2 linked regions of the Elephas maximus indicus genome follow. The protein of the gene in region 2 purifies or fractionates together with the protein of the main gene of each other region. This does not show direct contact. Links are inferred from orthologs where the notes say so. Each region holds a gene or a part of one and is shown on either strand. Other genes may lie near its edges.

Region 1 (16,007 bases), on a different chromosome or scaffold from region 2:
GAGAAAAATGTAGAACAGAACTCAAATTCTTAAACAGTCCAGACTTACTGAACTAGTTGAGGCTAGAGGACTGCCTGAGACTATCACCCTGAGATACTCCTTTTTTTTTCTTTTTTTGAAACAGATTTATTGAGATATAATTCTATAGCAAACAATTCACTCATTTCAAGTGTACAATTTAGTGGCTTTTAGTATATTCACAGAGTTATGTATCACCAGAATTTTAGAATATTTTCATTATCACATAAAGAAATCCCACACCACTTAGCCATCATCCCTAATTCTCCCATGACCCCCAGCCTTAGGCAACCACGAATTTACTCTTTGAGATTAAAAAAAAAAAAATTTCTATTGTGCTTTAAGTTAAAGTTTACAAATCGTCAATCTCTCATACAAAATCTTATATATACCTTGCTACATACTCCCAGTTGCTCTCCCCCTAATGAGACAGCCTGCTCCCTCCCTCTACTCTCTCTTTTCGTGTCCATTTTGCCAGCTTCTAACTACCTCTACCCTCTCATCTCCCCTCCAAGCAGGAGATGCCAACATAGTCTCAAGTGTCCACCTGATCCAAGAAGCTCACTCCTCTCCTCACCAGCATCCCTCTCCAACCCATGTCTAGTCCAAACCCTATCTGAAGAGTTGGCTTTGGGAATGGTTCTTGTCCTGGGCCAACAGAAGGTCTGGCGGCCATGACCACCAGGATCCTTCTAGTCTCAGTCAAACCATTAAGTCTGGTCTTTTTATGAGAATTTGGGGTCTGCATCCCACTGCTCTCCTGCTCCCTCAGGGGTTCTCTATTGTGCTCCCTGTCAGGGCAGTCATCAGTTGTAGCCAGGTGCCATCTAGTTCTTCTGGTCTCAGGCTGATGTAGTCTCTGGTTTATGTGGCCCTTTCTGTCTCTTGGGCTCATGATTACCTTGCGTCCTTGGTGTTCTTCATTCTCCTCTGATCCAGGTGGGTTGAGACCCACTGCTGCACCTTAGATGGCCGTTTGCTACATTTAAGACCCCAGATGCCACTCTCCAAAGTAGGATGCAGAATGTTTTCTTAATAGATTTTATTATGCCAATCAACTTAGATGTCCCCTGAAACTATGGTCCCCAAACCCCCACCCCTGTTACTCTGGCCTTCGAAGCATTCTGTTTATTTAGGGAACTTCTTTGCTTTTGGTTTAGTCCAGTTGTGCTGGCCTTGCCTGTATTGTGTGCTGTCTTTCCCTTCATCTAAAGTAGCTCTTATCTACTGTCTAATTAGTGAGTACCCCTCTCCCTCCCTCCCTCCCTCCCTCCCTCCCTCCCTCCCTCCCTCCCTCCCTCCCTCCCTCCCCACTCTCATAACTATCAAAGAATATTTTCTTCTCTGTTTAAACTATTTCTTGAGTTCTTATAATAGTGGTCTTATACAATATTTGTCCTTTTGCAACTGACTAATTTCACTCAGCATAATGCCTTCCAGATTCCTCCATGTTATGAAATGTTTCACAGATTCATCACTGTTCTTTACTGACGCGTAGTATTCCATGGTGTGAATATACCATAATTTATTTATCCATTCATCCACTGATGAGCACCTTGGTTGCTTCCATCTTTTTGCTATTGTTACGTGCTGCAACGAACATGGGTATGCATATATCTGTTCGTGTGAAGGCTCTTAATTTCTCTGGGATATATTCCAAGGAGTGGGATTGCTGGATCATATGGTAGTTCTATTTCTAGCTTTTTAAGGAAGCGCCAAATCGATTTCCAAAGTGGTTGTACCATTTTACATTCCCACCAGCAGTGTATAAGTGTTCCAATGTCTCCACAGCCTCTCCAACATTTATTATTTTTTTGTTTTTTGGATTAATTCCAGCCTTGTTGGAGTGAGATGGAATCTTACTGTAGTTTTGATTTGCATTTTCCTAATGGCTCATGATCGTGAGCACTTCCTCATGTATCTGTTAGCTATGAAAGTCTTCTTTAGTGAAGTGTCTGTTCATATCGTTTGTCCATTTTTTAATTGGGTTATTTGTCTTTTTGTAGTTGAGTTTTTGCAGTATCATGTAGATTTTAGAGATCAGGAGCTGATTGGAAATGTCATAGCTAAAAACTTTTTCCCAGTCTGTAGGTAATCTTTTTACTCTTTTGGTGAAGTCTTTGGATGAGCATAGGTGTTTGATTTTTAGGAGCTCCCAGTTATCTACTTTTTCTTCTGCCTGTGACACCCTTTAAACCATAAACCAAAATTATCCCTTGAAGTTACCTTTTGGCTGAATAACAGATTGGCTCATAAAATAGAGAATATCACCTGTGAGTAATGAACTTCTTTTAAAAAATCATCCTTAGGAGACCAAATGGTCAAAAATCACTCTAAAGCAAAGATGAGAAGGGGCAGGGAAACCAGAGCACTGGAAATGGTACAACCAGAATGCAATGAATGAGAATGATGACACATTGTGAAAAATGACTGCAAACCACCTAACTATATCCCACCAAATCCAAACTAAATGTATCCCCAAATTAACTTCTCCTTCACCAGAGTCCAAAATTCCTGTGGCCTCTCCAACATCATCCGATTTGCGAGGAAGTGTGATAGAGGGGGAGGTTAGAGTGGGAAGAAACAGTGGTCTTAACTGATTGCAGTTAAAAAGTCTTATTTTTCCAAATTCAAAAGAAAAAAAATGTATTTGATCCTGTGAAGACATTGCTGGGGCCTCACCCAGTGCCTTGAATAGGGCCATGCAAGTGTGAGGTCCTGTAGTTCAAGCTTCATTGCTTCACAGAAAATCCGCCTCTGGTGGTGCCTATCCTGGGCATTTACAAGGCTCAAAGGAGGTGTCTGTGAGGACATGAAGGACCTGACACACAGCAAGTACTCCACAAATGATGGTGATTATTATTACTGTTGTTGTTGCTGCCGTCCTCATTTTCTAGGAGGCTAGAGGAGAAGGAGACCCAGAGCAGGGATGAGGCCCTTCTGCAGGTGTCATGGCAAAGCTGGGCTGGAAGTTGGGTTCCTGGCTCTAAGTCTTGAGTTCTTTGCACTGCAGTGGATTGTGTTTTCTGAGCCCTTTGTGTGGCCTAAAGGCCAGGGTGACAGTCCTAGAGGTCTTGGAGGGTGAGGAAGGCCTCAGTCATTTGTTCAGAGGGGTGGAGGCATGTGTGGGGCAGAGAGTCCATCAGCTGCTCTCTGACCAGGCCCTACCCTTAGTCTGATGAGGGGAGGGCAGAGTCCTGCCCTCAGAAGCCCTCTGCCTGATATGGAAGACAGTCCTGCCCTGGGGAACCCCAAATCTGATTGAGTGACCGAGGCCAGCCCTCAGAGACCATAGTCTGAAGTAGGAGATGAGCCTTGCTCTTGGGGGCCCTCAGTCTGATGGGGGAGACATAGGCCAACCCTCAAAAGTCCCCATTCTGCAGAGAGAGATACAACTCTGGTCTCAGTACCTCCAACTCTGATAGAGGAACCAGGACCCCCCGTATCACTGGGGGGAGAAAATACAAAATAGATTGGTGGAGCTGAGTAGCTTGAATTGGGAAGGTTTTCTGGAATCCCCGGCAATGCAAACGATTAACACACTCAGCTGCTAACCAGAATTCTGGGGGTTTGAGTTCACCCAGAAGAAAGGCCTGCTGATCTACTTCCTAAAAATCAGCCATTGAAAGCCTTAGGAGTCATAACCATACACCTCACTGGGCTTGAGAGCTAGGAATCATAGTCTTGGGGGACATCTAGGTTAATTGGCATATCAAAATCCATATAGACTGTGTTCTACATCCTACCTTGGTGAGTAGCGACTGAGGTCTTAGAAGCTTTCAAGTAGCCATCTAAGATAAAACAATTGGTCTCTTCCCATCTGGAGCAAAGAAGAGTGAAGAAAACCAAAGACTCAAGGGAGCAATTAGTCCACAGCCAACATTAGCTTGAGACCAGGAGAACTAGATGGTGCCCAGCTACCACTAACAATTGCTCTGACTGGGACCACAATAGTAGGTCACGGACGAAGTGGGAGAGAAATGTAGAACAAAATTCAAACTCATAAATAAGACCAGACTTTCTGGTTTGATAGAGACAGGTGGAACCCCGAGACTATGTCCCTTAGGCATCCTTCAAACTTCGAGTTGAAATCACTCTCGGAGATCACATTATAGCCATACAATAGACAGGTCTATAAAATGAATGCCCTGAGGCATATACACCTCAGAACAATCAACTATCTGTGAGATCTAAAGGGCAGCATTTGCCCAAAAGCAAAGTTCAGAAGGAAGTAGGGGCAGGAAAGCTGGGTGGATGGACACGGAGAAGCCAGGGAGGAAGTGGGGAGAGTACTGACACATTCAGGGGTTTGCAACCGATGCCACAAGACAAGCTGTGTACAAATTGTTGAATGGGAAACTAATTCGCTCTGTAAGCTTTCACCTAAGCAACAATAAAATGTCCAAATACAAAGACAGAAAGAAAACCCTGTGGAGCACAGTTCTACTCTGACACACATGGGGTCACCATGTATTGAAATTGACTCAACAGTTTTTTTTCTTTTTTCCTTTTTCTGAAGGAAAAGTTAATGATAATATTCTCTCGTCTGTACAGTACTTTACATTTCTAAAGCACTTTCACAATTATCTCAGTTAGTCCTCACATAACAATGGGGTTAAGGTGTGACTATTCAAGCAGGAGCAACAATCATCATTCTAATAATTGTAATGACTGCCACTTATTGAGCACCTGTGCCAGGCACGGGGCTGCATATTATCTGTAAAATTAAAGAGAGACCAATGAGATAAGGTGTTTGAAAATGCTTTACAGTCCCATGACCAGGGTGCACATGTTTGCTCTTGGTGTGTACAGAGGCCTCAGACTGGTGGAGGTGCGGCTGGGAGATCTGGAGTGCAGAGGGCCTGGCTTTAGGCTTGGAACTGGGAGATAGCCAGCACTAGGCAACTTCTCATTCCTGGAACGCGTCATGCACCTTCATGCCTCAAAGATCTTGTTCATGCTGTTCCTCCTGCCTGGGATGCCTTTCCCTTGCCCAGTCTGTTTGGTAAGCTCCTGGTCACCCTTCTTGGTCTAACTCAGTGTTACTGTCCACAGCCTTCCCGCCTTTCCCTCTCCACCTCTCCAGCAGCATAAATTGCTCCATCTCTGAGTTCCCAGGTCATCTAATCCACACTCCTAATATAGCATTTAGCTCACAGTGCTTGTTATGCATTGAATTGTGTTCCCAAAAAAATGTGTCAGCTTGCCTAGGCCATGAGTCCCAGTATTGTGTGGTTGTCCACCATTTTGGAATCTGATGTGATTATCCTGTGTGTTGTATAAATCCTAACCTTTACGATGTGAATGAGGAAGCATTAGAGGCAGTTATGTTAATAAGGTAAGACAGAATCTACAGGATTATGCTGTATCTTGAGTCAATCTCTTTTGAGATATAAAACAGAGAAGCTAGCAAAGAGGAGTGAGACTTCATACCATCCAGAAAGAAGTGCCAGGAGCAGCACATGTTCTTTGGACCTGGGGTCCCTGCGCAAAGAAGCTCCTGGACCAGGGGAAGATTGATGACAAGGAACTTCTCCCAGAACTGACAGAGAGAGAAAGCCTTCCTGGGGAGCTGGAGCCCGAATTCAGACTTCTAGCCTCGTAGACTGTGAGAGAATAAATTTGTTTGTTGAAGTCATCCAATTGTGGTATTTCTGTTACAGCAGCACTAGATAATTAAGACAGTGCTGTACTTACACACTTAACTGCTGGTGGTAGTGTTCAAACATTGATATGGTCAGAGGTCATTAGAGGAGGCTGACTGGTCATCTAGACGCCATCTTGGGCAAAGTTTATCATCTAGGTGAATTCTTCTGGGTCTAAGATCAGGGCTGGTTTCTCAGGGAGGAGTCACATAAAACAGTGATGGGAATTGACTTATAAAGTCAGAATGCCAATTTAGGGAGGCAGAACTCTAAGACGAAATGGGTAAGTGTGTCGGCTCTGGGGCCAGGCTGCCTGGGTTTGGATCCTGGCTCTCCCTTCCAGATATGTGACCTTGAGCACGTGACCTCTCTGTCCCTATATCTCACCCTCTAAATGGGAATGATAAGAGCATTTACATCATAGGAGCATTGTAAGCAAAAGTCATGGACATTTAATCTATATATCAGGATTAATAAAGACTTCGCAGAGGAAGTAGCATTTGGACTGAGACCTGATGGATAATAATGAGTTGGCTGGCAAAGGCTTAGGAATCAGGACAGGACATTTTAGGAACTGAAAGAAGCCATTGAAGAGGGAGCCTGGTGAGTAAAGGTGGGCTTGGGACAAAATGAGACTGGCGAGGTAGCCAGGGCCCTGATGGTGTTGCTCCTTAGAGGTCGTGCTTGAGAGTTTGGAATTAATCCTGAATGCTATGGCTATCCACTAAAGGGCTAATTTTAAGCAAGGGAGTAACAAGATACGTTTTACATCTTAGAAGGATTGCTCTGGCTGCTGGGTGGGGGATGGATTATTAAAAGGGACAAGAAAAGTAGTAAGGGGACCAGTTAGGAAGCCACAGGAGTAGCTGTCCAAATAAGAGATGTACTGGCTTAGGCTGATGTGGCAGCAGCAGAGATGGTGAGAAGGCAACAGAATCAGGATGTATTTTGGGGAGAGACAGACAGTACTAATAAATGAGTCTAGAACTTGGCTGGAGTCTCTGAGTGACACAAATGGTTAAGTGCTCAACTACTAACCAAAAGGTTGGTGGTTCGAACCTACCCAGAGGCACCTTGGAAGAAAGGCCTGGCAATCCGCTTCAGAAAAGTCAGTCTTGAAAACCCTAGGGAGCACAATTCTACTCTGGAATACATAGGGTCACCATTTTAGTTTAGCATTGGGCTTGAGAAAATGGGTGGAGGTTTTGCCTTTGGCAAATGAGTGCTTGAATGGGGCACTTAAGTCAATGGGGAAGATTTTGGGAAGAATTAATTTGTTGTGTCTATCCAATGGCATACAACAACATGAACAAGGCCCGCTGCCGTGAAGTCAAATCCAACTCATACCAACCCTATAGCACAGACTACAACTGCCCCATAGGGTTTCCAAGGAGCGGCTGGTGGATTTGAACTGCCGGCCTTTTGCTTAGCAGTCGTAGTTATAAACCACTGCACCACCAAGGCTCCACAACAACAAAGGGGGAGTATTAATGTTGGCCATGTTAGTTCTGAGATACCTACTAACTCCAATGGAGGTGTCCAGGTGGCAGTCCAATAGACGAGCCTGGAGCTCACAAGAGGTTTGGGTCAGAGATGTCAATTTGGGCTTCATTAGCATGTAGTTGGTAATTATAACCATTGCATTCAGTGAGATCACCTAAGGAGAGAGTATAGATAAGAATAGAGGAGAGAGCAGTGGCTAGAACCTCCAATATTTACAAGTCTGCGCAGCACAAGACACTGAGAGAGTGTTAGAGAGGTGGAAAGAAAACCAGGTCCCTGTGGTGACACAGAAGCCTAAAGAAAAAAAGAATTTTCAGAAGAAAGAAGGGGTCAACTGTGTCAAATGCAGCTGAGAGGTCAAGTAAGATAATAGTGGTCCATTGACTTTGACAATGTGTAGGCCATCTGATCTTCATCAAACCTCTTAAGAACAGACTAATTAGAATAAGTTGAAGACCAATGGGAGTTGAGGAAGTAGAGAAACAAGTATAGCAAACTTCTAAAAAAGCTTTGCTGTGAATAAGAGCTAAAAAGTGGGGAGGTAACTGGATCAGAAACTCAGTGCACAGACTATTAAAAAAAAGATACTAAAGCATGTTTGTAAATTGATGGGAATGATCCAAAAGAAATTTGTGATGCAGGAGATTAAAAAAAAAAAAAAAAGGATAATTGCAGGGTTAGGATCCCTGAGAAGACTAAGATGGTGAAATTCATTGCATTAGTAGAGGGACTGGCCTTAGGTGACTGGGACCTGTCCCTCACATTAACAGGAGTCAAAGTAGACTAAAGGGCCGGTTCCATGATCACGGAGTCCGAAATGAAAAGGTAGAACCACTTATTAAAAAATCATTAAGAATTTCAAGACTGTGCCAGCAGAGCATCAAACCAAGTGCGAGGCTTTTCAGACCTGGGACCCTGTGCGGCTTTGGCTGCTCATGAAGCCAGCCTTGGTCAAGTATGTGATGATGACAGAAGTAGGCTGTCGTTTGGGCAAGTTTCTTTTTTCTGGGTCTCAATTGCCTCATGGAAGGGTTGGAAGAGATGATAAGGGCACTTTCATCTCAGCTCCACCGTTCTACAAGTAGGGAACAAGGCAAAGGACCAAAGTTTGTGCCTTTTTCACTTCCAACCCCCCCATATTTGAGCCCAAGGCTTTCTGGAAGGCTCCAAAGCATCTGGTGACCATAGCAACTCACGCCAAGCTCCCCAACTCTGGGCTCCGCCCACCACTTCTTGGATTCGCTTATTGATAGGCTCAGAAAGCCGACCAATGGTCGGCGAAGCGGGCTGCTTCATGCGCAGTCAATGGCCGAGAGAGCGGAGGAAGGCGGGAAGGGAAGGGGAGAAGGCGGGCCGGGGCGTGTGGCAAGTGCGTATTTCCTGCTCCGCTGCGGAAGGCGGAGTGGAGCCGTTGGGCCCGAGGCGACCAGGAGGAGCGTGGATCGGCGGGCGACAGTGCTGAGCGCGGATTTCTTAGCGCGGAAAGGGACAGGCGCGATGGGAGGGGAGCAGGAAGAGGAGCGGTTCGACGGCATGCTGCTGGCCATGGCGCAGCAGCACGAGGGCGGCGTGCAGGAGGTAACCGCCCGCGCGGCGTCGGCCCGGCCTGGTCCGGCGGTGCTGGCCCATTCAGGCGGCCCTAGCCACGCTCTCTCAGCCCTTCTCTGCCCTCGAGGCCCGAGAGCTTCCTCCGGGCCTCACTCGCTTCCGGGACCCCCACCCTCCGACATTCCCACCGCTCTTGAGCTTCCGGTCTGGCCTCCCAGCCAGCGTGTCCCACTCCTCGGGTGTCAATCCCGGCCCCATGGCGCCCTTCAGTAACTTCTAACAAAGTAAACGTGGCATTCCTGACCCGACCCTTTCAGATTCTTCCCCCAGAGCCTTGGTATATGCCCTTGGTCTTACACATGCTTCCAGCCCCGGTACCCCATAGGTGGCTGCTTCCAGAGAGCATCCCTTACGACGAGCCATGCCAGACTCTCATTTGCATCTACCACAACTTGTAGTGAGTCGATGAGTGTGTGCGGGGTGTGTGTGGAGCGATGATGTTAGCACGTGGTTTTTCAGGGTGTGAATGGGGGAGTAGGAGGCTTGTTCTCGCAGTTGATTTCCACTACCTGGGAAGCTTGGGACCGTCCCACCTTTCCAAGCCGCATTTTTCTTATCTCTTAAAATGGAGCTGCAAATCCCTGTTTTCCTGAATCGTTGTAGGAGAGTGGTATCTTGAAGAGCAGTGAGGAGTTATAAATAATCAGGCTTGTTCATTCAGCCAGTGTTTGGTGAATAACGTCTGTCAGACACTCACTGGAGCCCTGGTGGCACAGTGCTTAAAAGCTCAGCTGCTAACCAAAAGGTCAGCAGTTCGTATCTACCAGCTGCTTCTTGGAAACCCTATGGGGGCAGTTCTACTCTGTCCTGTAGGGTCACGATGGGTCTGAATCCACTCTGTGAATGAGTTTTTTTTTTTTTTTTTAAGACACTTTTTTTGGACTCATTGGGCTGGGTCCCGGGGATACGGAGGTGAGCAGAAACTTGTCCTTGCCCTGAAAGAGCTTACAAAGAGCTTTTTTAAAAAGCATAAAGCATGCTGAGCGACCCCGCAATAATAACATGTAGTCTGTGAATGGTAAGGATCAACTAGTGTAGATTCTTGAGTTGGTTTTTTGAAGCAGAAATCTGGAAAGTTAGAGGTAGAACAGTTGTTAAAATCAGTCCAAAGCTTCATTTTATAAATAAAGAAATGGAGACCCAGTGACTCCTGACCTCCGCGAGACCAGACTCCGTAGGCCGTTGTACTTTCCACAGTCCTTTTGCTGATTTTCTTCCTCAGTGGGGACAAGTTTTCATTGACCTATCCATTTCCATTCTTTCACTCAGGTGCCTGTTGTGACCAAGGGCTCCCAAGCCCTTTGAGGTGTGGGGGGTGTTACTAATTTGCAAGTGTGAAAAGGCTCCCCCTCCCCCTGTTCCCCTAAATTGTTGACACAATACCAGGTTTGAGAGAGTTCATTTTTGAGAGAATTGATAACATGTCTACCACCCACCCACTGCCCTCAAGTATGAGTATGAGATAACATGTCTAGAAGTTTCAGTTCCCTATTGAAATTATTGAGGTAAATTCTAGCATCAGATTTAGAACCCTTGGGCGAGTAAAATGGCTTGAATGTGCTAACTCTAGATCACCATTAGATCTGTTCATTCAACAAATATTTTACTGAGCATATACTCTGAGCCTGATATGGTGCCAGACATTGGGGATGTAGACAGGCTAAGTTAGTCGTTCCTGCTGTTAGGGGTTCATCCTTTAGCAGTGGGTCTGTTGTGCTGTGCCATTTACTGCTAAGGGCCTTACCTTCATTACCTCATTTATTCCTCACAAGGTGCCCAGAAATGGGTCCTGCTGCTATTCCTGTTTTACAGAGTTAAGAAACTTCCCCAAGGTCACACAGCTGATAAGTATCAGTCTGAAACTAAAACCCACGTGTCTTAGTCATCTAGTGCTGCTATGACAGAAATATCACACCAGGGTGGCTTTAACAAAGAGAAGTTTATTCTCTCACAGTCCAGTAGGCTAGAAGTCTGAATTCAGGGCACCAGCTCCAGGGGAAGGGTTTCTCTCTCTTTCGGCTCTGGACGAAGGTCCTTGTCATCAGCCTTCCCTTGGCCAGGGGCATCTCAGCACAGGAACCTCAGGTCCAAAGGATGCGCACTGCTCCTGGCACTGCATTCTTGGTGGTATGAGGTCGCCCTGTCTCTCTGCTTGCTTCTCTCTTTTATATCTCAAAAGAGATTGGCTTAAGACACTGTTTAATCTTGTAGACCTTGTCAGTATAACTACCACAAATACATCTTATTACATCATAGTGATAGAATTTACAACGTAGAAATCACATCAGAAGATAAAATGATAGACAATCATACAACCATATAAGGGAATCATGACCTAGCCAAGTCGACAGATATTTTTGGGGGGACATAATTCAATCCATGACACCATGCTCTTAATCACCTGGCTACACTGGTAACCCAACCAGAGTCAGCTGGTCTTGACCTTCTTTTAAGTGGTTTCATTTGCGCCCCCCCGTGCCCCCCCCCCCCCCCCCCCGCCCCAGTTCTGCCCTGGTAGTTTAGCCAGCACTACTGATGGGTTTTTTTTTATTTTTCTGGAGAGGAAGGTTGGGCCCAGACATTTTAAGCTCTGGATACAGAGAACTGAATGTTTCACATCCTCAGGCTACATGTAAACACACACAAGAAGTGAGACCTCCCAGATGGTCCAAAGTTAGAGTAAGCTTCCTGGTGGGAGTGACTAAGGGAACTGGAGGAGGGAGATGTCTCAGTTGAGAGGCTCCAAGGTGAGAGAGTTAAGTCCCAAGCTCCCTCCTAGACTAAGGAAGTTGGCTTCTATTTAGTTGAGAGCCTCCCAATATGGCGTCTCCATAGCTTTAGTTTTCTCTCTTTTCTTTCAGCTTGTGAACACCTTCTTCAGCTTCCTTCGACGCAAAACAGACTTTTTCATTGGAGGAGAAGAGGGTATGGCAGAGAAGGTGAGCATTGGGGGCTGCTGTCCCTTGAGCAGCTCTGTCTCTTCAGAAAAATTCACCTGGCCTTCCTTTGGTATAATAGTAATCTCTAGCGGAAGCAAAATGCCAAGGGCAAGGGGGAGAAGGGATGCAAGTTGTCATTTTTTGAAGCTCCACTGTTAACGATGTACTTTATCCACGTGATTTTCATATGATCCTTAGAAGTTCTGCAAGAGAGGTAGGTGTTACTATCCCATTTTTACAAATGAGGAAAGTGGGTCAGGGATCTTTTGCAACAGAAAAATGGGCAATTCTCAGAAGACTGACAAGTTTCAGACTGACAAAAATCGAAAAGAACATTGCAGTGATGTAGAAGAAAGGACACTTTTTCAGACATTGCTGGTGAAGGTAAATTATTATAGCTTTTAAAAACTTGAGAATATTTCAAACATAAGCAAAGGTAGAGAGAGTAGTCCCAGGAATCCCTGTGTAACCCATCCCTTTGCTACGACAATCGTTAACTCCTGACCACTTTCCTTCAGGTTATTTTGTAGCAAGTTCCAGGCATATTTTTGGATTTGCAAATATTTTGTGAATACCTAAAAAGGATAATTTTTAATCAACATATCTTTAATGCTAATTGATTATAAATTTTCCTTAAAAGAAATTAAAAAAACAAGAATAAACCAGTTGGCTATCAAGTCAGTTTTGACTCATGGTGACTCCACGTGTGCCAGAGTACTGTAGAGCTGTAGTCCATAAGGTTTTCAGAGGTTGATTTTTTGGAAGTAGATTGCTAGGCCTTTTTTTCCATGGCATCTCTGGGTGGACTCGAACCGCCAACCTTTAGGTTAGCAGCCGAGCGTGTTAACCATTTGCACCACTCAGGGACTACATCTAAAAAGAAATAATAATAAAAAAAAGAAATAGCAAATGGTAATTCCTTAAATATCATCCAGTATCCACTTACGATTCATATTTCCCCCAATGCTTTGCTTCTTTATTTCTTTAAAACAGCCTTATTGAGAGAGAATTCACATATCATACAGTTCACCCATTGAAAGTGTACAATTCAGTGGCTTTTGGTATATAGGTTTCCCCTCCTATCCAGAAGTACAGCATTCCTATTACAAACCTTCATAAGCTGAAATGCAGGAAAATGAAGTAATTACTACTACGAAATTTTTGAGTGTTGCCAAATGCAAAAAATAACCTACCAAATCATACCAAATACCACATGAAACCTAAAATAAAACTAACATAGTAAAAACAGAAATGATAAATAAATACACAGCCTATATAAAGTAGATGCTGAATGTAGCTCACGGGGAAGGAGCTTGGTGATGCCACTCTTGGGGTGCAAGCTGCCTCTTTAACACCTCGCTGCAATGCTGAATGCTATTTCCGCTTTTCATCTTTTTTTTCTAGAAGTGAAAATCCTCTTTGGATTTCATTCTTTTAGCAAAAACGGTATTAATGTAGATCTTCCATAAAAGTGAAGTGGTATAAAGCGAACTTTCAAAGAATGGGGGATATCTATATTCACTGATACATGTATCCATCACTGCAGTCAATTTTAGAACGTTTTCATCACTTTAAGAAGAAACCCTGTGTCTTCTAGCTATTATCTATCTACCCCACCCCGTCCAGTCGTCTCCAAAATCTTGTGTGCTGCCGTTGAGTCAATTCCAACTCATAGTGACCCTATAGGACAGAGTAGAACTGCCTGTAGTGTTTCCAAGGCTGTAATCTTTATGGAAGCAGATTGCCGCATCTTTCTCACATGGAGTGGCTGGTGAGTTTGAACCTCTTACCTTTCGGTTAGCAGCCGAGTGCTTAACTACTGTGCCATCAGGGCTCCTTTCCCAACCCTTAAGCAATCCTCACCAATCTACTTTCTGTCTCATAGATTTCTGTATTCTGGACTTTTATATGAATGGAATGATAACACTCTGGTTGGTTGTGACTGGTGTCTTTCACTTAGTATGTTTTCAAGGTTCATTCATGTATCAGTACTTAATGTTTTTATGGCTGAATAATATTCCATTTATGGGTATACCACATTGTGTTTATTCATTTGTTCATTGATGGACATTTGGGTTGTTTGCACTCTTTGGCTCTTATGACTAATGATGCTATAAATATTTGTGACCATCTGTATATATTCTTTGGAGAAATGTCTACTGAAATCCTTTGTCCATTTTTTAATTGGGTTATTTGTCTTTTTATTATTGAGTTGTAAATGTTCTTCGTATATTCTCGACACATGTCCCTTATCAGATGGAGGATTTGCAAATATTTTCTCTCATTCTTTGGATTACTTTTTCACTTCAATGGTATCCTTGGAAGCACAAATGTTTAAAAAAATTTTTTTTTTTTTAATGACTCAGCTCTTCTCTTTTTTATTGTGCTTTAGGTGAAGTTTTACAGCACAAATTAATGTCCACCTCCGGACAGGAGCTGCCAGTTTAGTCTCGTGTATCTACTTGAACTAAGAAGCACAGTCTTCATGAGTATTATTTTACGTTTTACAGTCCAGCCTAATCCTTGTCTGAAGAGTTGGTTTCTGGAATGGTTTTAGTTCTGGGTTAACAGAGAGCCTGGGGGCCATGTCTTCTGAGGTTCCTCTAGTCTCAGTCAAACCATTAAGTCTGGTCTTTCTACATGAATTTGAGTTCTGTGCCCTGCTTTTCTCGTGCTCCACTGGGGACTATCTGTTGTGTCCCCTGTCAGGACAGTCATTGGTGGTGGCTGGGCACCATCTAGTTCTTCTGGTCTCAGGCCGATGGAGTCTCTTGTTTATGTGGCCCTTTATGTCTCTTGGGCTAGTATTTTCTTTGTGTCTTTGGTGTTCTTCAGTCTCTCTTGCTCCAGGTAGGTTGGGGCCAGTTGATGCATCTTAGATGGCCACTTGCAACCTTTTAAGACCCCAGATGCCACCCACCAAAGTGGGGTGCAGAACGTTTCCTTAATGAAGTTTGTTATGCCACTTGACTTAGATGTCCCCTGAAACCATGGTCCCCAGATCCCCACCTCTGCTACTGTCTCCCACGAAGTGTTTGGTTGCATTCAGGAAACTTCTTAGCTTTTAGTTTAGTTCATTTGTGCGGACTTCCCTTGTGTTGTGTGTTGTCCTTCCCTTCACCTAAGTTAATTCTTGTAAATGTTTTTAATTTTGATGAAATTCAATTCATTTGTTTTATTTTGTTGCTATCTAAGAATCCTTTGCCAAATCCAAGGTCATGAAGATTCACTGCTGTTTTTTTCATGGAGTTCTATAGTTTTTACTCTTATATTTAGGTCTTTGATCCACTTTGAGTTAATTTTGTATGTGGCGTGAGGTAGGGGTCCAAGTTTATTCTTTTACATGTGAATAGCCAGTCTCAGTACCATTTGTCTCTGTACTGTTTTTTTATTTCCCCATCGAATAGACTTTATACCCTTGTGCAAAATCAGTTGACCATAGATGTATGGGTTTGTTTCTGGACTCCCAGTTCTATTCCATTGATCTGTATGTCTGTCTTTGTGCCAATAGCATACTGTCTTGATTACTGTTACTTTGTAGTATGTATTGAAATTGGGATATGTTAGTCTTCCTACTTTGTTCTTTTTTCAGGATTGTTTTGGCTATTTTGGGTCCCTTGCAATTCTCAAATGAATTTTATAATCAGCTTGTCAATTTGTACCAAGAAGTCACTGGGGATTTTAATAGGAATTGTGTTGAATCTGTAGATCAGTTTGAGGAGTATTGCCATCTTAATGCTGATGTTCCAGCCCATGAACATGGAATGTTTTCCATTTATTTAGGTCCTCAATTGATTTCTTTCAGCAATATTTTATAATTTTCAAAGTGTAAGTTTTGTACTTTTATCAAATTTATTTTTATTTTATTCTTTTTTATGCTATTGTGAATGAAATTGTTTTCTTAATTTCATTTTCAGATTCACTGCAGCTTACTGTTTTTTCTTTGATTCAGGTTCCAGACAAGGTCCCCACATTTCATTGGTTGATAGGAGGAACCTATGGATTAAGAGACATCTTTTTTTTTCCCCCTTGCAGTTTATTTGTTGACGAGACCTGGTTTTTTGTTCTGGCAAGTTTCCCATAATCTGAATTTTGCTTATTGCGTATCTATGGTGTCATTTAACCCCTTTGTCTTTTTTATTTCCTGCATGTTGGTAGTTAGATCTAGAAGCTTGATCTGATTCAGTTTGGGGATTTTTTTGTTCCCCAAGACTACTTCATTGATGGTCTTGTGTGCTCCATCGGGAAGCCCATGTTGCCTGGTTGTTTCGCATGTGATGTTGCCTAAATTTAT
Region 2 (16,081 bases):
CTCAAAGGTTGGTGGTTCAAATCCACCAGCTGCTCCACAGGGCAAAAACCCTGGCGATCTGCTCCAGTAAAGATTATGGCCTCAGAAACCCTATGGGGCAGCTCCACTCTGTCTATAGGGTGGCTATAAGTCGGAACCAACTTGACAGCACGTGACAACAACGACAGAGACTTTGAAAGGACCATGAGGAAGTTGTGGAAAGCCCTGGGGATTTCTAGGGGTGACAAGACTTGGGGGGGAGGGTTTCTCATAGAGTGGAGGTTTACACTGAGCATCTTGGTGGCGCCAGGTCGTTTCTTGGGGTTCTTAGTGAGGGTAACTTTGACAAAGTTGTGGAAGGCAGCCGACCTTGGGAGAGAGAAACCAGGTTCTGGAGTGAGGGGACCAGAGACCTTCCCATCAGACCAACCAACCGTGCCTCTGCCCTCCCTCCCTTCCGCCGCCCTCCCTCCCTCCCTCTGCTCTCCCTCCTATCAGCTTCTCTCACCATTTACCCTTTTCCTTCAGCCGTGGGGGCTGGTAACCACTCTTGGTCATGAGGAACAGAACTCTAGAGGAGTAGGAAGGGAACATGAGGTTCACATCCCTACTTGGGGGTCAGACCTCATGGCATGAGAGGTCCCCAGACCCTCCCAGACAGCACTGAGGTCAGGGAGAGGATGAGAAGGAGGTTCAGGTTTTACAACACACAAGGATGCCACCTCTAGGGGGAGCCATTGATCACATCATAGATCTATGGCATCTGCAGAAGGAGGCTCAAGATGAGGACCTGGCTTTGGGGGCCCCTATGGGATAACGAGTCGGAATCGACTCGACGGCACTGGGTTTGGGTAGTGTATGGGACTGAAGATAAGGCTTTTTGCATTGGGGGAACCCTCGGGGATCTCAGACTGGGCTCGAGGAACAGGGGTCTCCTGTAGGGAGATCTTGATGTGGCAAAGCAGGTTGGGGAGGAGGATTCAGGGTCAGGGCTGGATGGGATCTTGAAGCCCCAGGGGGCTTCTAACACCTACCGGAGAGGGTGCACGTCAAAGAGCGGGGGCTCTAGCTCGGCCAGTTCGATGGCTGTGATGCCCAGGGACCAGATGTCACACAGCTCATTGTATCCCCCTTTCAGGGCCACAGCTGCCACTTCCGGAGCCATCCTGGGGGCAGAGACCCTCAGAGAGCCAGGGATGGCACAAGGAGGGCAAGGGGAGAGAGGGGAAGAGACTCCTGGGGAGTTGGGGGTGAAGAGAGACAAGGAGAAGGAGAACAGGCAAAGGGAGCAAGGGGAGATGTGGCATAGAAGGCCAGACGGAGAGAGAAGAAATACAGACACAGAAACCCTGAGGAGTATGCCCCCAGACGCCCTTTTAGCTCAGCACTGAAGTCAGTCCTGAGGTTCATCGTTCAGCCAAAGATCAGACAGGCCCAAAAAACAAAACAAGACTAAACGAGCACACCAGCCCAGGGGCAAGGATGAGAAGGCAGGAGGGGACAGGAAGGCTGGTAATGGGAAACCTGAGGTCGAGAAGGGGAGAGTGTTGACATGTTCTGGGTTGGCAACCAATGTCACAAAACAAAATGTGTATTAATTACTTAACGAGAAACTAATTTGCTTTGTAAACCTTCATCTAAAGCACAATTTTAAAAAATTAAAAAAAAAAAAAGAAATAGATACAGAAAGATAAAGACAGAGGAACAGAAAAGCATAGAGAGAGAAACAGTGTGTGAGAGTGAGAGAGAAACAAAGGACAGGAGAGCCATGGACTGACCTGGAGGAAAAGAGAGAAATAGGCAGAGCGGGACAGGCAGAGAGAGGAAGATAAAAACTGACACAAACACAGAGAAACAGGCAGGGAAAGGCCTGTGGAGAAACGTGAAACTCCAGAGAGAGCCAAAGAGGACTATGGAATGTTCTACAGAGAAAGACTGAGGCAGGGATAAGGGGCAGGAGCCAGGAAGGTGATTCCTAGACAACCAGGGTGGGAAAAGCCACTACCCCCACCCCACCCCTAGCTGCCCGCCAAGGACCGCTCACCAGTAGGGTGTCCCAATGAAGGAGAGGCGTCGAGCCAGTGTTGCCCCGATCTGGGCCGAGATACCAAAGTCAGCTGGAGGCAGAGAGAGGGACAGAGTGACCTGGGGTCTCCCATCCACCCAAGCCCCTCAACCAGTCCCCCTACCAACCCCCACCAGCTGCACTCACCAAGTCTGACCTCCCCGGCATCATTGATGAGAATGTTGGCTCCCTGGGTGGGCGGGAAGGGGGTTAGAGCGGGCTCTGTGGGTGTCAGAGACACCCCCCACAGCCCACGGCTGGGCCCACCACCCCACACTCAACACCACCCTGTTTCCTGAGCCCCCAGGTGCCACCCTTATGCCCTTAGAGCCCCACCCCCCAAAAGCACGGCACCCCCAGACCACCACCTTGATGTCCCTGTGTATCTTCTTCTGTGAGTGTAGATAGGCTAGTCCCTGGGGAGGAGGGTGGACAAGGCGGCTGTGAGTGGGGGCGGGAGTGTGAGCAAAGCCCTGCCCCACCCAGGCCCACCCAGGCCTCTCCTCACCTGCAGGACTTCCCGGCAGACATAGCTGATCTGGAGCTCGGACAGCGGGCCCGTCACTGCAAACGTGACATGGCCCAGCATTGGGGGGGCGGCCAAGAAACCTTGGTCTGGGTGTCCCTGACCCCCACCCATACTGACTGGGAACATGCCCCAGGGGTGGGGGAGATAGGCTGGGACAAGTGGGAGGGGCAACAGAGGGTGGTCAGCAACAAAGAGGCAGCAATACAAGGAAACACAGGCTGGAGGGACACACAGACCGAGATTCATCCAGCAGATTTTCATTGAGCGTCTACAGGCAGGGGTGCAGATGGCACTGGGGATACAGCTGTGAATAAAACTGAGCTCCTTGCTCTCCTGGGAAGAATGTTCCAGTGGGAGGAAACCAAAACGACTCATAGTGACCCTATAGGGCAGAGGAGAACTGCCCCACGGGGTTTCCAAAAAGCAGCTGGTGGATTCGAACTATCGACTGCTTGGTTAGCAGCCAAACACTTAACCACTAAGCCACCAGGGCTCCACCAGTAGTACAGATGATAGCAAACAAGATACAAAAGCGGTGTACTCTATGCGATGTTAATACACGGTAAGAAGGAAAACAAGGCAGGAAAGGAGAATGGGTAATACATGGGGAAGGCTAAAAAAATTCTTCCCAGGCTGGTCAGAGAAGGCTTCTGGAAAAAGAAGGCAGCGGGGCAGGGATGGGAGCAGCCCCACTCCGAGGGGGAACGGCAAGTGCCAAGGCCGGGAGGTGGGAGTGTGCCTGATGAGTTTGAAAGACAGAAGGTGGGTGAGCTGACTAGGGGAAAAGGAAAGTGTAGGAGGTGAGGTCGGGCAGCTTGGGGGCAGGTCAGGCTCTGCGGGCCGTGATAAGGACCTGGGGTTCTATTTGGAGGGAAATGGGAGCCGCAGAGGGCTCTGAGCGAGAAAGTGAAGTGATCTTGCAAAGCGAGGGAATGCAGAGACAGATCCAAACTGAGACTGAGACAAGAAGAGATGGTCAAGGACTAAAACGTGGGAAGACAGACATGTTTAAAAAGAAAGACACAGAGGGGTATAGAGGAAACAAGTGAGAGAGACAAGAAACAGGACAGACAGACCAAGTCTGACAGACTGCCTCTATGAATCACTTCCTCTCTGTGGGCCTCAGTTTCCCCCATCTGAGAACTAATGACGTTCCTCCTTTTCTGACATTTGAGGTTCGAGCTGGAGGGAATCAGAAATTCAAATTCTCAGATTCTCAGAGAGGGTGAAAGGCAAGCTGAGAGAGACCCAGAAATTCATTTTCAGTGAAAACGTGAGTACCTACTATGAACCAGAAATACAGAAATACTCAACCGCACTGAGAGACACTGGCACGAAAATGCAGACAGGGAGACAAAGATGGAGAGTGGAGGGTGAGGGGGTCATGGAAGGCAGAGAGGCTCAGGCTGGGCTGTCAAGTCCTTGGGGACAGGGTCCAGGGCTCACTGGGTCACTGCGGCATAGTAAGCATTGTCAGGCCAGGGCCAGAGGAGGGCTACAGTGTGTAAAGCAGGGGACCAGACTGTCCCAGAGAGATGCAAATAAGACAGACAGGGAGAGACAGGAGAAGTGGGGTGGATTTGAGGATCCCTTGTTCTTCCTCTCACCTTGGTAGATGTCCTGGAGAGAGCCAGCCCCACAGAATTCCATGCAGATCCAGAGCTTCTGCAGCCTACAACAAACCAGAAGTGACAATAATATCGTAACGACACAATAATAGAAGAACGTAACAATATAATAACGACGGCAGCAATAGCGGCAGCAATGTTATCGTTTATAAGAAGGAGCCGCTGGTCCACCTCTTGTCTTGTTCTGGTTCAACAAGCACTCTAATGTAACAGCTGTCATCTCTCTATCTCGCCTTGCCCACCAGAGTGAGATCTTTCCATTCCCGTCTTACAGATGGCAAAGTTGAGGTTCAGAGAGGAAATGTACTTTCAGGGTCAACTAGACTAGAACCCAAGTCTTTGTGCTCCAAACCCAGGAGACTCTCTGCGTCCTGTGATAACCTAGGAGACTGGGCCAAACAAGCATCTCACAGGTTGGGGAGGCTGGGAAGGGATGGTGGGGGCCCAGGAGGCCAGGTCTGGGGATAGTGGTCATCACTGGGGCAATTCTCTGCATAAGAAGCAGGGAATGAAACTGGAGGACCCAAAGGGCAGGATGATGAGAGATTAGCTTTAGGGGACTCAGGTATCAGATTTAGTCACTATGGAGGGATCAATTTGGGGACCTGTGGTCAGAAGTGGAATTTCTGGACTGGGGATCCGATTAGAGGGTGCCCCAGTGAGAAATGAGGGTTCAAGGTTAGAGATCAGGTTAGGGTACCCAGGTCAGAAATGGAAGTGCAGAATTAGGGACCAGGTTAGGAGGCATCCTGATCAGAAACAGGGGTCCAGATTTGGGGATCAAGTTAGGGATGCCCTGTTCAGAAATAAGACTTCAGGATTAGAGATCAGGTTGGGGGCCCGGAACAGGTTGGGGGCTGGGCTGGGTCCTGGGGCAGGTCTTAGTCTCCTTACCAGAGGTAAGTCCCATGGTAGGCCACGATGTTGGCGTGCCGGCAGGTTTTCAAGATGAGGATTTCCTTCTGAAGAGTGGAGACGTCGTCATCTGTGAGGACAGGTGGGGGAGAGAAAAAGCGGCTGCAGAGAGGGGGTCATGGGGGAGGTGGCCCCAGTGTCCCAGGAGGTGGGGGTGAGGGTATGGGGAGGGAGCTCCTGGATCTTCGCCTCACCAGGCTCCATCTTCACCATCTTCAATGCCATCAGGTCCCCAGTCACCTTGTCTCGAGCCTTGTAAGGGGAAGTTAGCAGTCAGACGGGTGCCACATGCCTGAGTCCCTCCTCAGCATCCCGGAGCCAAGGCCAGGCCCTCTTGCATTCCCTTCCCTTCCCGGGCCTTCTCTGCTTTGAGGGTGATGAAGACAGACTGGAGGTGGGGGAAGGGGCCCCTCACCTTGAAAACTTCCCCATAAGTGCCGCCCCCCAGCCGCTGCAGCAGGTCGTAATGGTCCCGGGGGTCCCTATTAAAGATGTCGGGATCCACGAAGTCCATCCCTGGAGGCTGGAGCTGGGCCTGAGCCCAGGGGGCCAGCAGGGCCACAGGGCTCAAGCGCTGGCACCTCCTTCCCTCTCTACACGCCCTGCACCCGCCTTGCCTCCGCGGGCTGTGGCCTTCCCCCTCCCCACTCTCGCTTCCTGCCCCAGCACAGGGCTGTGCAGCCAGCTCCACCCCCTGTCCCCTGGGCCCTGACAGCCTGTGAGGGGCAGCTTTTGTCAGGACCCAGGGGACCCCCCTCCACCCCTAGGGTGTAGGACTGGATGTAAATGAGATGCAAACGATCTTAATTGTGACCCGGGGGGGGGTGCCCCAGCAGGCCCCTTTCCAGTTCTGGGTGGGAGTGAAAAACCATAGTTGAACCTCTGCTGTGTGCATGAGGGTTTGGCCACTACACGGAGGTGGCAGGTTTGCACAGGAGATGGCTACGCAGTGTACATTGCCCGTTCACCTGGGATACATACATGCACTTATGTGTTACCGCCTGTGGGGTGTGCAAATCTGTAGACGTGGTACATGTCTGTATACCCGTGTGCACAAACGTGCATGTACCCAGAACACATGAAACACACGTCTGTGCGCTCACGCTTGTAGCGTGCAGCCTGTATACACATAGCTCTTGATCGCACATTTGCGGCTGCTCGCCTTCGCTCCGAAGCCTGGGGCTTAATGGGGACTGGGAAGATGCAGCGGGTCCAGGAGCCCCTTACTCAAGCCCTGCGAACTTCTACCCGTGGAGCTGCCATGAAGGATGGGGACCACGGTCCAGGACTTGAAACTGGAGAGCTCAGGATTCTGCCTCTAGCGGCCACGTCTGGGACGGAGGTGGAGGGAAGGGGGGAGGGCAGAACCTCAGAGAGCACACCCCTCGGGACTTGGCCATGGCCCGAGGGAAGGGCTACTACGTGCATTCCCGCACAAGTATGAGTTCACAGCCGCGTGCAAGAGGACGAGTGTGTATGCCATTAGTGCTCAGACTCCCGCCCGGAGAGTTCGCGGGCACACAGGCCGGTGTCCTGAGACTAGGAACGCGAGGCCCGGGAAAAGCTTAACCCCGCCCCTCGCCCCGAAAAGACGCCTGCGCATCGCGGTAGACTGAGCTTTTTCTCACTCCGTTGGGCCTGCTCAGATGGAGCGAGTGCGCACGCGCCGTTTGCGTCTGCTGGGAAGAAGTCACGTGGTAGCCGGAAAGCGTGACTGCTGCCGCTGCAAGAGTCACCTCCCGGGGCCGGACGATAACAATGACGTATTTCTTCTTCCATCACCCCTTCCGCTTCCGGTGTTCGAGGGCCCCGTGCCGGCGCGGTCTGCTACTCCAGCCCGGGTGTGGGGGCGCCGGTGGCCATGGCAATGTTTGAGCAGATGAGAGCGAACGTGGGCAAGTTGCTCAAGGGTATCGACAGGTCTGAGTCCCGTTGGGGGGAGCGCTTCTGGCCAAGCGGGGTGGAGGAGAGGGCTTTCCGGAGACATCGAAGGGTAGTCAGGGTCCCGTGGCTGTCCTGGGCTGGGGTCTCTGTCATTCTCCATGTGGAAGTCTCGTTCTGGAGGAGGAAATGTCTAAGGAGACAGCACTGCAGAGGTCTAGAGGCAGGAGAGAACCTTGTTTATCACTTGCTCTCCCTCTGTTTCTGTTCCTCAGTTTCTCACTGTGTCAGTGCCTCGGCCTCGCCTTTTTTGGCCCCTCATGTCACTCACTGGTCACTGTTACCGACTCTGTCAGTGCTGGGCGATGCTGGGGCTTAGAATTGACCAAGATAGCTGCAGACCGTGCTTTCACGGAGTTCCCAGTCCAGAGGCGATAAGAGTGATACGCGGGAATGGTTAGGCTGGGATGGGGGAGGCACACGCAGGGGGTTCGGAATGGAATGGGGAAATATAGGGGGCTCTGGAAGCCTGAGGTAGGGGAGACACCTGATCTAGCTTGGGCCAAGGGAGGCTTTTTGAAGGTGGTGAAGTCTAGATTAAGACCTGAAAGACAAGTGAGAATGAGACAGGCGAAGAAAGATAATGGGAAGACTTGAACTGGGCAAGAAAAGGAAGAAAGGAGTTCTGGGCAGAAGAAACACTATGGACAAATGCTTTGAGAGGAAATGAGCTTAGGGGCCACATCATGGAGGGAGGGCACTGGGGAGCCATGGAATGATTTTAAGCAGGAGAGGGACGTGGTCACGTTTATGCTTTAGAAAGACTTCTCTATTGTGTGGATGGGGGGCGGTGGCGGGAGGAGTCTGGAGAAAGGTGGAAGACCAGTGAAAGGCTATGAAGGGACCCAGACAGGAAAGGATGGGACTGAACCAGGGTGGGAGCCTGGAGAGAGGCTAAGGGGTTGGGTGGCAGAGGTGTTTAAGGGGCCAGGTATACAGGCTGCAAGGTGGTGGAGGCATCTAGGACAAGACCCAGGGCTCCAGTGGGACTGGAGCTTGGGTGAGAGATCTGGTATGTGGAGAGATTTTATTAGAGATTATGGAGCTGATTCAAGATTGGGGCGGGACAAGTGTCCCGTGCCAGATTTAGAGGGAAGGAAGGGAGGGAGGAGCAGGTCATAGTGGCCCCCTGGCCTCGTAAAGTGGGCTCAGCTCCTGTCTCCTTTCTGTTTACCCATTTTCTTCCTCCTCTAGGTATAATCCTGAGAACTTGGCCACCCTGGAGCGCTATGTGGAGACGCAGGCCAAGGAGAATGCCTATGACCTGGAAGCCAACCTCGCTGTCCTGAAGCTGTGAGTATCTGCCCCCGCCCCCATCCCTATGCCAGCAGCCAGCAGGGTGCTACTTTCAACGTGGGGAGGACTGGGAAGTTAGCCTGCAGGATGTGGCTTCTCTTGATATGCAAGACCAGGAAATCAAGGAAGCTGAGTTTTAAAAAACCAATTGGAAACATGTGTATAGGATAGTAGTACAGAAGATGAATGTGCAAGGTAACAAGGAACTGTAAACAGGCACTCACGCAGTCGCCATCCATACAGCAACGTCAGGTGTCGCTAGTGCCCCGGGAGCTCTCTGCCTACATGCTCTGTGCCGACCACCTCACCCCCCCCCCCATTTTGGCAACTCCTCTTCGCTCTGGCAGCAAGGCTTTATGTGATAGTTTACCACATGTGCCTGCGTCTTGACTGGCTCCGCTCAGGTTTGCGTCTGAAGTTTGCACACGTGGAGTCCTGCGTCTGGCGTCTGCTCAGTGGTGGATCTGTGAGTGCCATCCAGTTTTTTGTAGCAGCAGTTTGTTGTTGCTGTAAGGTGTGTGACTCCATTCTAATTCCCCTTTCTCCTGTCGATGGGCATTTGATTACTTCTCTCAAGTATTTTCTTTGACACACGACCAACTGGGTAATCTTCGCAGATTATGCAGCCTCGGGTTTTTCATCTGTGAAACTGGGATGATGATGTTTGAAATTGTGGGATTGTTTGGTTTGTTACTGGTGAGGATCACTGCTTAGTGAGCCCCCACCATGTGCTAGCTGGGTGTTATACTTTGTACGTATTAACTGGTTTAATTGCTCTGTTGTTTCTGTGAGGTATGGTTGTTCTTATCCCCATTTGCAAGGGAGGAAACTGAAGGACAGAAAATTTAAAACACGTAATCTGAGGTCACCTAGCCGGGAAGTTTAAATCCAGGCAGTCTGGCTCTAGATCCTTAACCACTGCACCAGGTACTTGTTGTATACTCTTACATACGTGAATCACTTATAACAATACCTGCCTCGTTGGGCGATGGTGTGTATTAACTGTCCTCCTCTATAGAGCAGGAGCGTGTGGCTGAGGAAGATGAAGGTCATGCAGCCACAAAGTGTTGCAGTTGGAAGTGGAGCCCAGGCATGTCCACCTCCCGAGCTCCACAGCCTTGTGTGGCCAAAGCAGTGGGCAGTCTGATGGGTACCTGGTGCATCTCGGGGACCTGGAGGTGCCACTGTTGCTGTGTCTCTTACTGCCCTTCTCAGGTACCAGTTCAACCCAGCCTTCTTCCAGACCACCGTCACTGCGCAGATCCTGCTGAAGGCCCTCACCAACCTGCCCCACACCGACTTCACGCTGTGCAAGTGTATGATCGACCAGGCACACGTATCCTTCCAGCTCTGGGGCCAGGGTTTGCAGGGGAGGTGGGTGTAGGTGAGCTCCCAGGGATGTGGCTGTGGCTTCATCCACAAACACTGAGTGCCTGCTCTAGGCCAGGGCCTGCCCTCCTGTAGCTCACAGTCCATTGGAGGAAACAGACGGGTCCCTGTGAGTTATAGCTCAGAGTGGTCAGGGCTGGGGAGCCAGAGAAGGCACCTCACCCTGCTCTGGAGGTTAGGGGAAGCTTCCTGGAGGAGAGAACTTTTGAAAGATGAGGAGTTAGGTGAAGAGCTCGGAAAGGGCGATCCAGGCAGACGGAACAGCATGTAGGGAGGCCTGGAGGGAAAGAACAACTTGGTGCCATCTTTTAGAGATGGCAGAGGAAGTTCAGCTTAGGCTTGCCATAGGTTTTAAACTGGAATGTGGTCAGACTCAAAAAGGGTGCTGGGAAGCCACAAAACACTTTAAAAAGCTCAGCAATACAGGTAGATTAATGCTTTAGACAGATTCCCCTCAGGGTTCTCAGCTGAGGAGGCACCACCAGGCAAGAAGCAGGAGAGGATGGGGGCTGTGACTGGGGCCCGGGCAAGGGACAGGACCCTGTTTTGATAGCTTTCAAAAACAAAGGCATATGGCACCTAAATTGGAAAGCATGAAAGAATACCAAAAAAATACAAGGGAATAGGCAGTGAAAACGCCAGGCTTCTTCCTTCCCCTGTCCCATGGCTGCGGCACTCCATTCCCATGAGGCAGCAGTTGTTTGTAGTTCCTGGGTACTGCTCCACGGGTATTCTGTGGCTATGTAAATACGGATGTGTGTTTATATGCACGTATTTTTCCCCATCCATACGGTTGGATGTTAGGCACACTTGTCTGCATCTTGCTTTTTTCATGTCATTGTGTGTCTCAGCAAGCTCTCCCTCGTCGGTGCTGTGAGTGACTCGATCCCAGAGTATGGATATGCTGAGTTTATTTGCATCGCTCTCCTCGGTGGACACATACGTTATTTCTCATCTCTTGCTGTTACGGTAATAGGGCACACACTGTCCTGCGTGTGTCCACAGAAGAAATAAGAGGGGTTTGTTTCCCACTTCTTCTGGGCCTTTGGAAGAAAAGTTAGGTGGGGAGGGATGATTTAGGACCCAACACCAGCCTCTTCAGGCTCCAAGGCCGTTTTCCCTTAACGCTTCCTCCTCCCAGCAAGAAGAGCGGCCGATCCGACAAATTCTATACCTCGGAGACCTGCTGGAGACCTGCCACTTCCAGGCCTTCTGGGTAACTTTCTTTGGGTCCCAGGACAGGCTGGGTGGGTCCCAGGACAGGCTGGGTGGGTCCAGGGTCAGTGGGGTTGGGCCGTGGTGAGCAGACCATTGGCTGCCTCTGTGGTGAAGGGCCCTGTGCTCTGTGCATTGTGTGCGTGATCCTGTGGGACCATTATCCTCCTCACACAGAGCCCACGAGGCCAAGGCTGAGTCTGTCCCTCGCTTCTCCTCTGCATCCTTCATCTGGGCTCTCTGGCACTTGTCATCTGTCATAAGTAGAAACCTTCCATTAGCTTTTTCTCTGCACATTCTTCCTTCTTGCTGTGACCAGAGCCTGGGCCCTCACTGAGGCTGTGCCTTGTCCTGCAGCCCCCAAGTCGGGCAGTTGGCCACCTCGCCTCTTTGTTCCTCCCCGCCACTCACAGAGCCATCTCCCCCTTCCCCTGCCCGAAGCCCCCAGTCCTGAAGCTCATGCCGTCAGCGTTGATCACAATCACGTACTAACTGGCTTTGTGGGTATCAGCCACAGTCCCTGGATCTAGCTCCTACTCAGGGCCACTCTGCCCAGTCAGATGATGATCCTTTACCATCGACCTCTTGGTTCCTTGCTCTCTTGTTCAGCTCTCTAGCCCTCCACCTGGCACACTCACCCCCATAGTCATGTTCTCGTCCAGTTCTTTGCAGCACGTTAAACCCCGGAGGAGCTTTAAAAAATACTGACACTTGGGTTCTGCCCTCACAGAGCCTGGGTGTCATCTAGGCTTTGGGATTTTGAAAATTATCTCCGGTAATTCTGATCTCTGGCTAGGGTGTGGGCCTACTGCCCTCACTAGATTTGTCCTCATTGGTAATGGTGCCTCTCCTCCTCCTGTAGATTTCGAACGTCTCCATCCTCTGACTGCTTCCTTCTGCCTTCCCAGCTCACTTGCAGAAGGTCCCTAACCCACCATTGTTACCTTGATCAGCACCAGCAGCTCCAGCCCTCTGTTGTTCATGTTCTCCTGTCCTGCTTCCTTCCCCACCCTGTCCGCACCCACCTGGTAACGATGAACGCGGCTAGAGAAACAGCCACCAGGAGCACATCGCTTCCTGGAGCCCACAGCATTCAGCTCCCTGAGCAGGCTGGCTTCCTGGCCCAGCTTGTCCCCCCTCTAGCTGCCCTGGACATCTTTTCTGCCTTCTTGTCTCTTCCCCTTCTACTCACGCCAACTTAGTCTGGCTTATTGTTTCGTGGGAAGACAGAAGCAGTCAAGGCAGAACTTGTGTGTGCTCCTGCCCCTAGTCCTGGCATTCCGCCCATGGCTGATCCCAGCACCTCACCTGCAGCTGACTCACACTTTACTCTCTCAGGGGTGAGGGGTTGTCTAAGGCCACCCACAGCACACTGGGTCCACTCGGAGCTCTCCCTGACTCCCCTGTAGCATCGCACTTATTCTGGACTATTCCTCTCAGTATAGAAGCACCTCTAATATGCAGTTAAAAAAAGAAACCAAACCCACTGCTGTCGAGTCGATTCCAACTTATAGTGACTCTATAGGGCAGAGTAGAACTGCCCCATAGAGTTTCCAAGGAGCGCCTGGCGGATTTGAACTGCCAGCCTCTTAGTTAACAGCTGTAGCACTTAACCACCATGCCACCAGGGTTTCTAACATGCAGTTAGTTCTATCTAAAAAGTAAAAAGCATCCTTGACCTCCACGTTCCCCATCAGCTCCCCCTTTTGTCTACATCTCTTTACGGCCACACTCCTGGGTAGAGGGACCACCTGTCCTGGTTTGCCTGGGACTCTCCTGGTTTTAAAACTTAAAGTCTCACATCCCAGGAAACCCTTCAGTTTTGGACAAACAGGAACATTTGGTCACTCTGCTACTGGAGTGCGTTGTCCGTGCTGTTTCTGCTTCCCTCCCTGCTCGCTTGAACCCACTCTATTCAGACTTTAATTTCCCACCCCCACACATTCCACTGAAACCACCCTTGTCAAGGCTAGCAGTCAGGCCTCACCTTAGCTGCCCCGCTGGCCGCCACTGAGACGGGTGATCATGCTCTGCTCCTGAACACTTGATTCAAGCAGGACTACTGCTCTCCTGGTTTTCTCCTTCTGCCTCACTGGCTGAGCCTTCAGAGTGTCCTGGTGGGCTCCACCTCATCCCCTCACAGGTGTGGGAGGGAGCCCTTGCTGGGAAGGTGACGTCTGAGCAGAGATCTAAAGGAAGTGAAGGTGCTGGCCATTGGGGAAGGGACTTCCACACAGGAACAGCCCATGCAAAGGCCCTGAGGCAGGAGCGTCCTGGCCTGTTGGAGGAGTATTGAGGAGGCCATGTAGCTGGAGCAGGGCGGGTAGGAGGAGACGCACTCACAGGTGACAGAGGCAGGTGATGTGGGTCTCATAGGCCACGGTAGGGCTTTGACTTTCACCCTGAGCCAGACAGGAGCAAGGGGAGGTGGTTGAGTGCGGCTTGCTAATCTGTATCTGTCCCCTCTCTTGTGTCCTGCCTGCCAGGGTTCAAACCCACCTCTACCACCTTGGGCAAATCATTTTAGGTGCTCCGCGCCTTGGCTTCCTAATCTCTAAAATGGGCATGAGCACAGTAACTGTTATGTCCGGGTTACGACAGGAGAGTGCCTGGCATGCGAGGTGACTCCTGGCATATCAGCTGCTGTTGTAATTAATGTTAGCGTCATCGTGAATGTTCTTCTTCCCCTCACAGCAAGCTTTGGATGAAAACATGGACCTCTTGGAAGGCATTACAGGCTTTGAAGACTCTGTCCGAAAATGTAAGCCCCTCCCTGTGCCCGACCCCCCTATTGGGAGGGAACGGGGTGGGGAGTGGGAGCAGAGTCTTAGGGGGGCGGCCCCTCACTGTTTTTGTCTCTGACCCCCCAGTTATCTGCCATGTGGTGGGCATCACTTACCAGCACATTGACCGCTGGCTGCTGGCCGAGATGCTTGGGGATCTGACGGGTAAGGTCCTTGTAAATCTAGGAGAAAATCTGGTGGTCAGGGCCAGTTAACCTGGCCAGTGTGGCAGATGGGCCCATGTCTGCCTCACCAGGTGTGACTGAAGGCCCAGTCCAGGAGGGTAACCACAGTGTGTATAAGACGTCCCTTCCTCGGGGGATATCTTAGGCTATTCATTCACTGATCTGCATGAATGCCAGGCACTGTGCTAGGCCGTGGGGACGCCACAGTGGACAAGACAGGATACGCAGCTTGGTTCTCACGGAGGTAGCAAGACAGCAGACTGGGATGTACGTGTACAAGACAGGAGGAGGTGGCAGCACTGGAGCCATTCCCTCGTGGAGTGCGGGTCCCTCGTGAAGCAAGGTGGGCAGCCGGGGGCAGTGCAGAGGGGAGCTCCTGAGGGAGGCTGTGCTTTGGGCCGCTTGTGCTCCTGGGGCAGTGAGGGCCAGTGGGGCTGGAGCAGAGTGTGCGGGCGAGGCTGGGGGAGAGGTCGGAGGGGCAGTGGTTGGAGGGGAGCCCCCAGACTGCATGGGGCCTCCTGACGGCCGTGTCCTTTACCGGAGTGAGATAGAGCCACAGAGGAGGGACAGGACTGAGTTTACGTTATTAAAAGATTTCTCCAAAAAAGAAAAATAGTACCGTGTTCATATGTGCGTATGTGTATGTATTTGCTTTTATCAAAAAAAAGTAGGGAGGAAAACGATGACTCCCAAGAGACGGGGTAGGAATGAGGAGGAGCAGGGTGGGCTTGGGGGTGAGACTTCCCATGTTTTTTTTTTTTTTTTGCCATTTGATCCAGGTAGTTTTTTAGTAGCCAAAGTGACATTTTTTGTTTTTAAATTGTGATAACAAAACATTTGATGTTTCCCCAATCTAGCAGAAGACTGCTTTTATTTAGATACTTTGTGTCAAGCAGTATACCAAGGGCTTTCCCTAGGTAGCTGTTGTACGTTATAAAAGAGTGCAACAGAGCCAAAGGGGCATAGCACCAACCTGAGAATTGAGTAAAGAGAAGCAACCGAATCTTCTAATCGCGTTGACAAAATTGGTAACACTCGTACAGGAGAGAATTAATTCAAGTCACGGAACACAGTCGCCTGGCCGTACGTTCTCGTTAGCATATTTTCCAGGGACAAAAAAAGAACTACGAAGAAATACTCAAACTTGACGCAAAGGCTTATTGTCAGTGGGAATGACAGCATTGGAACTTGGAAACCATGTCTTGTGGGTTGTGGGCAAAAGCAGACAAGTAAACACATTACTCTTGTTAGGAGCCAAGATTTTCACTGGGAGGGAAGGGAGAGAAATACAAAGAAGTGAAGGCAGAATCCATGTGCTGTTAAATGTGAGAAAACAAAAAAGCTGCCCCTGGCTGCAGGTAGGAAGACGAGCTCTGGAAGGGCAGGGCGGCCACAATGGGACCTGTCAGGCTGTCATGGCCTGGAGAGAAGATGCAGGTGGCTTCTGGTCTGGTCTGAAGCAGTCAGGCAACAGGGGTGCCCTGGCCTGGCGAAGCCTCGATTCCCTTGGCTCCCAGGCTCCCTGGGGTGTTGGGATTGGGGTGACTGAAGCCCCCGTGCTGCCCCATGTCCCTGCAGACAGCCAGCTGAAGGTGTGGATGAGTAAGTACGGCTGGAGCACTGACGAGTCGGGCCAGATCTTCATCTGTAGCCAGGAGGAGAGCATTAAACCCAAGAATATTGTGGAGAAGATTGACTTTGACAGTGAGTGGGGCTGAGGGGGTGGGAGGAAGGCAGCCTTCCGTAGAGGCCAGGGCCAAGGGGGTGGGAGGAAGGCGGCCTTCCATAGAGGCCAGGGCTAAGGGGGTGGGAGGAAGGCGGCCTTCCATAGAGGCCAGGGCCAAGGGGATGGGAGGAAGGCGCCCTTCCACAGAGGCCAGGGCTGAGGGGGTGGGAGGAAGGCGCCCTTCCACAGAGACCAGGGCTGAGGGGGTGGAGGAAAGCACCCTTCCACAGAGACCAGGGCTGAGGGGGTGGGAGGAAGGCACCCTTCCATAGAGGCCAGGGCCGAGGGGGTGGGAGGAAGGCACCCTTCTACAGAGGCCAGGGCTGAGGGGGTGGGAGGAAGGCGGCCTTCCATAGAGGCCAGGGCCAAGGGGGTGGAGGAAGGCACCCTTCCACAGAGACCAGGGCTGAGGGGGTGGGAGGAAGGCGCC

Evidence for each region.
Region 1: the proteins of MAP4K1 (region 2) and NUDC purify together in Homo sapiens (affinity purification with mass spectrometry; 3 studies listed by BioGRID and IntAct, with this or other methods). This does not show direct contact. The link is inferred for Elephas maximus indicus from reciprocal best matches to the Homo sapiens genes MAP4K1 and NUDC.

The regions. Positions count from the first base shown.
Region 1 is NC_064821.1:67,359,022-67,375,028, forward strand, and holds the start of NUDC (nuclear migration protein nudC), read left to right. Parts: upstream 1-8,552; 5' UTR 8,553-8,663; coding exon 8,664-8,744; intron 8,745-11,635; coding exon 11,636-11,713; intron 11,714-16,007. UniProt on the Homo sapiens protein: Plays a role in neurogenesis and neuronal migration. Necessary for correct formation of mitotic spindles and chromosome separation during mitosis. Necessary for cytokinesis and cell proliferation.
Region 2 is NC_064829.1:112,985,330-113,001,410, reverse strand, and holds the start of MAP4K1 (mitogen-activated protein kinase kinase kinase kinase 1), read right to left. Parts: upstream 5,752-16,081; 5' UTR 5,631-5,751; coding exon 5,532-5,630; intron 5,369-5,531; coding exon 5,311-5,368; intron 5,187-5,310; coding exon 5,096-5,186; intron 4,246-5,095; coding exon 4,181-4,245; intron 2,609-4,180; coding exon 2,553-2,608; intron 2,461-2,552; coding exon 2,413-2,460; intron 2,235-2,412; coding exon 2,192-2,234; intron 2,097-2,191; coding exon 2,024-2,096; intron 1,146-2,023; coding exon 1,014-1,145; intron 551-1,013; coding exon 488-550; intron 349-487; coding exon 267-348; intron 1-266. Other genes in the region: EIF3K (eukaryotic translation initiation factor 3 subunit K), read left to right, coding at 6,978-7,036, 8,252-8,350, 9,569-9,689, 10,884-10,958, 13,652-13,718, 13,828-13,905, 15,504-15,629. UniProt on the Homo sapiens protein: Serine/threonine-protein kinase, which plays a role in the response to environmental stress. Appears to act upstream of the JUN N-terminal pathway.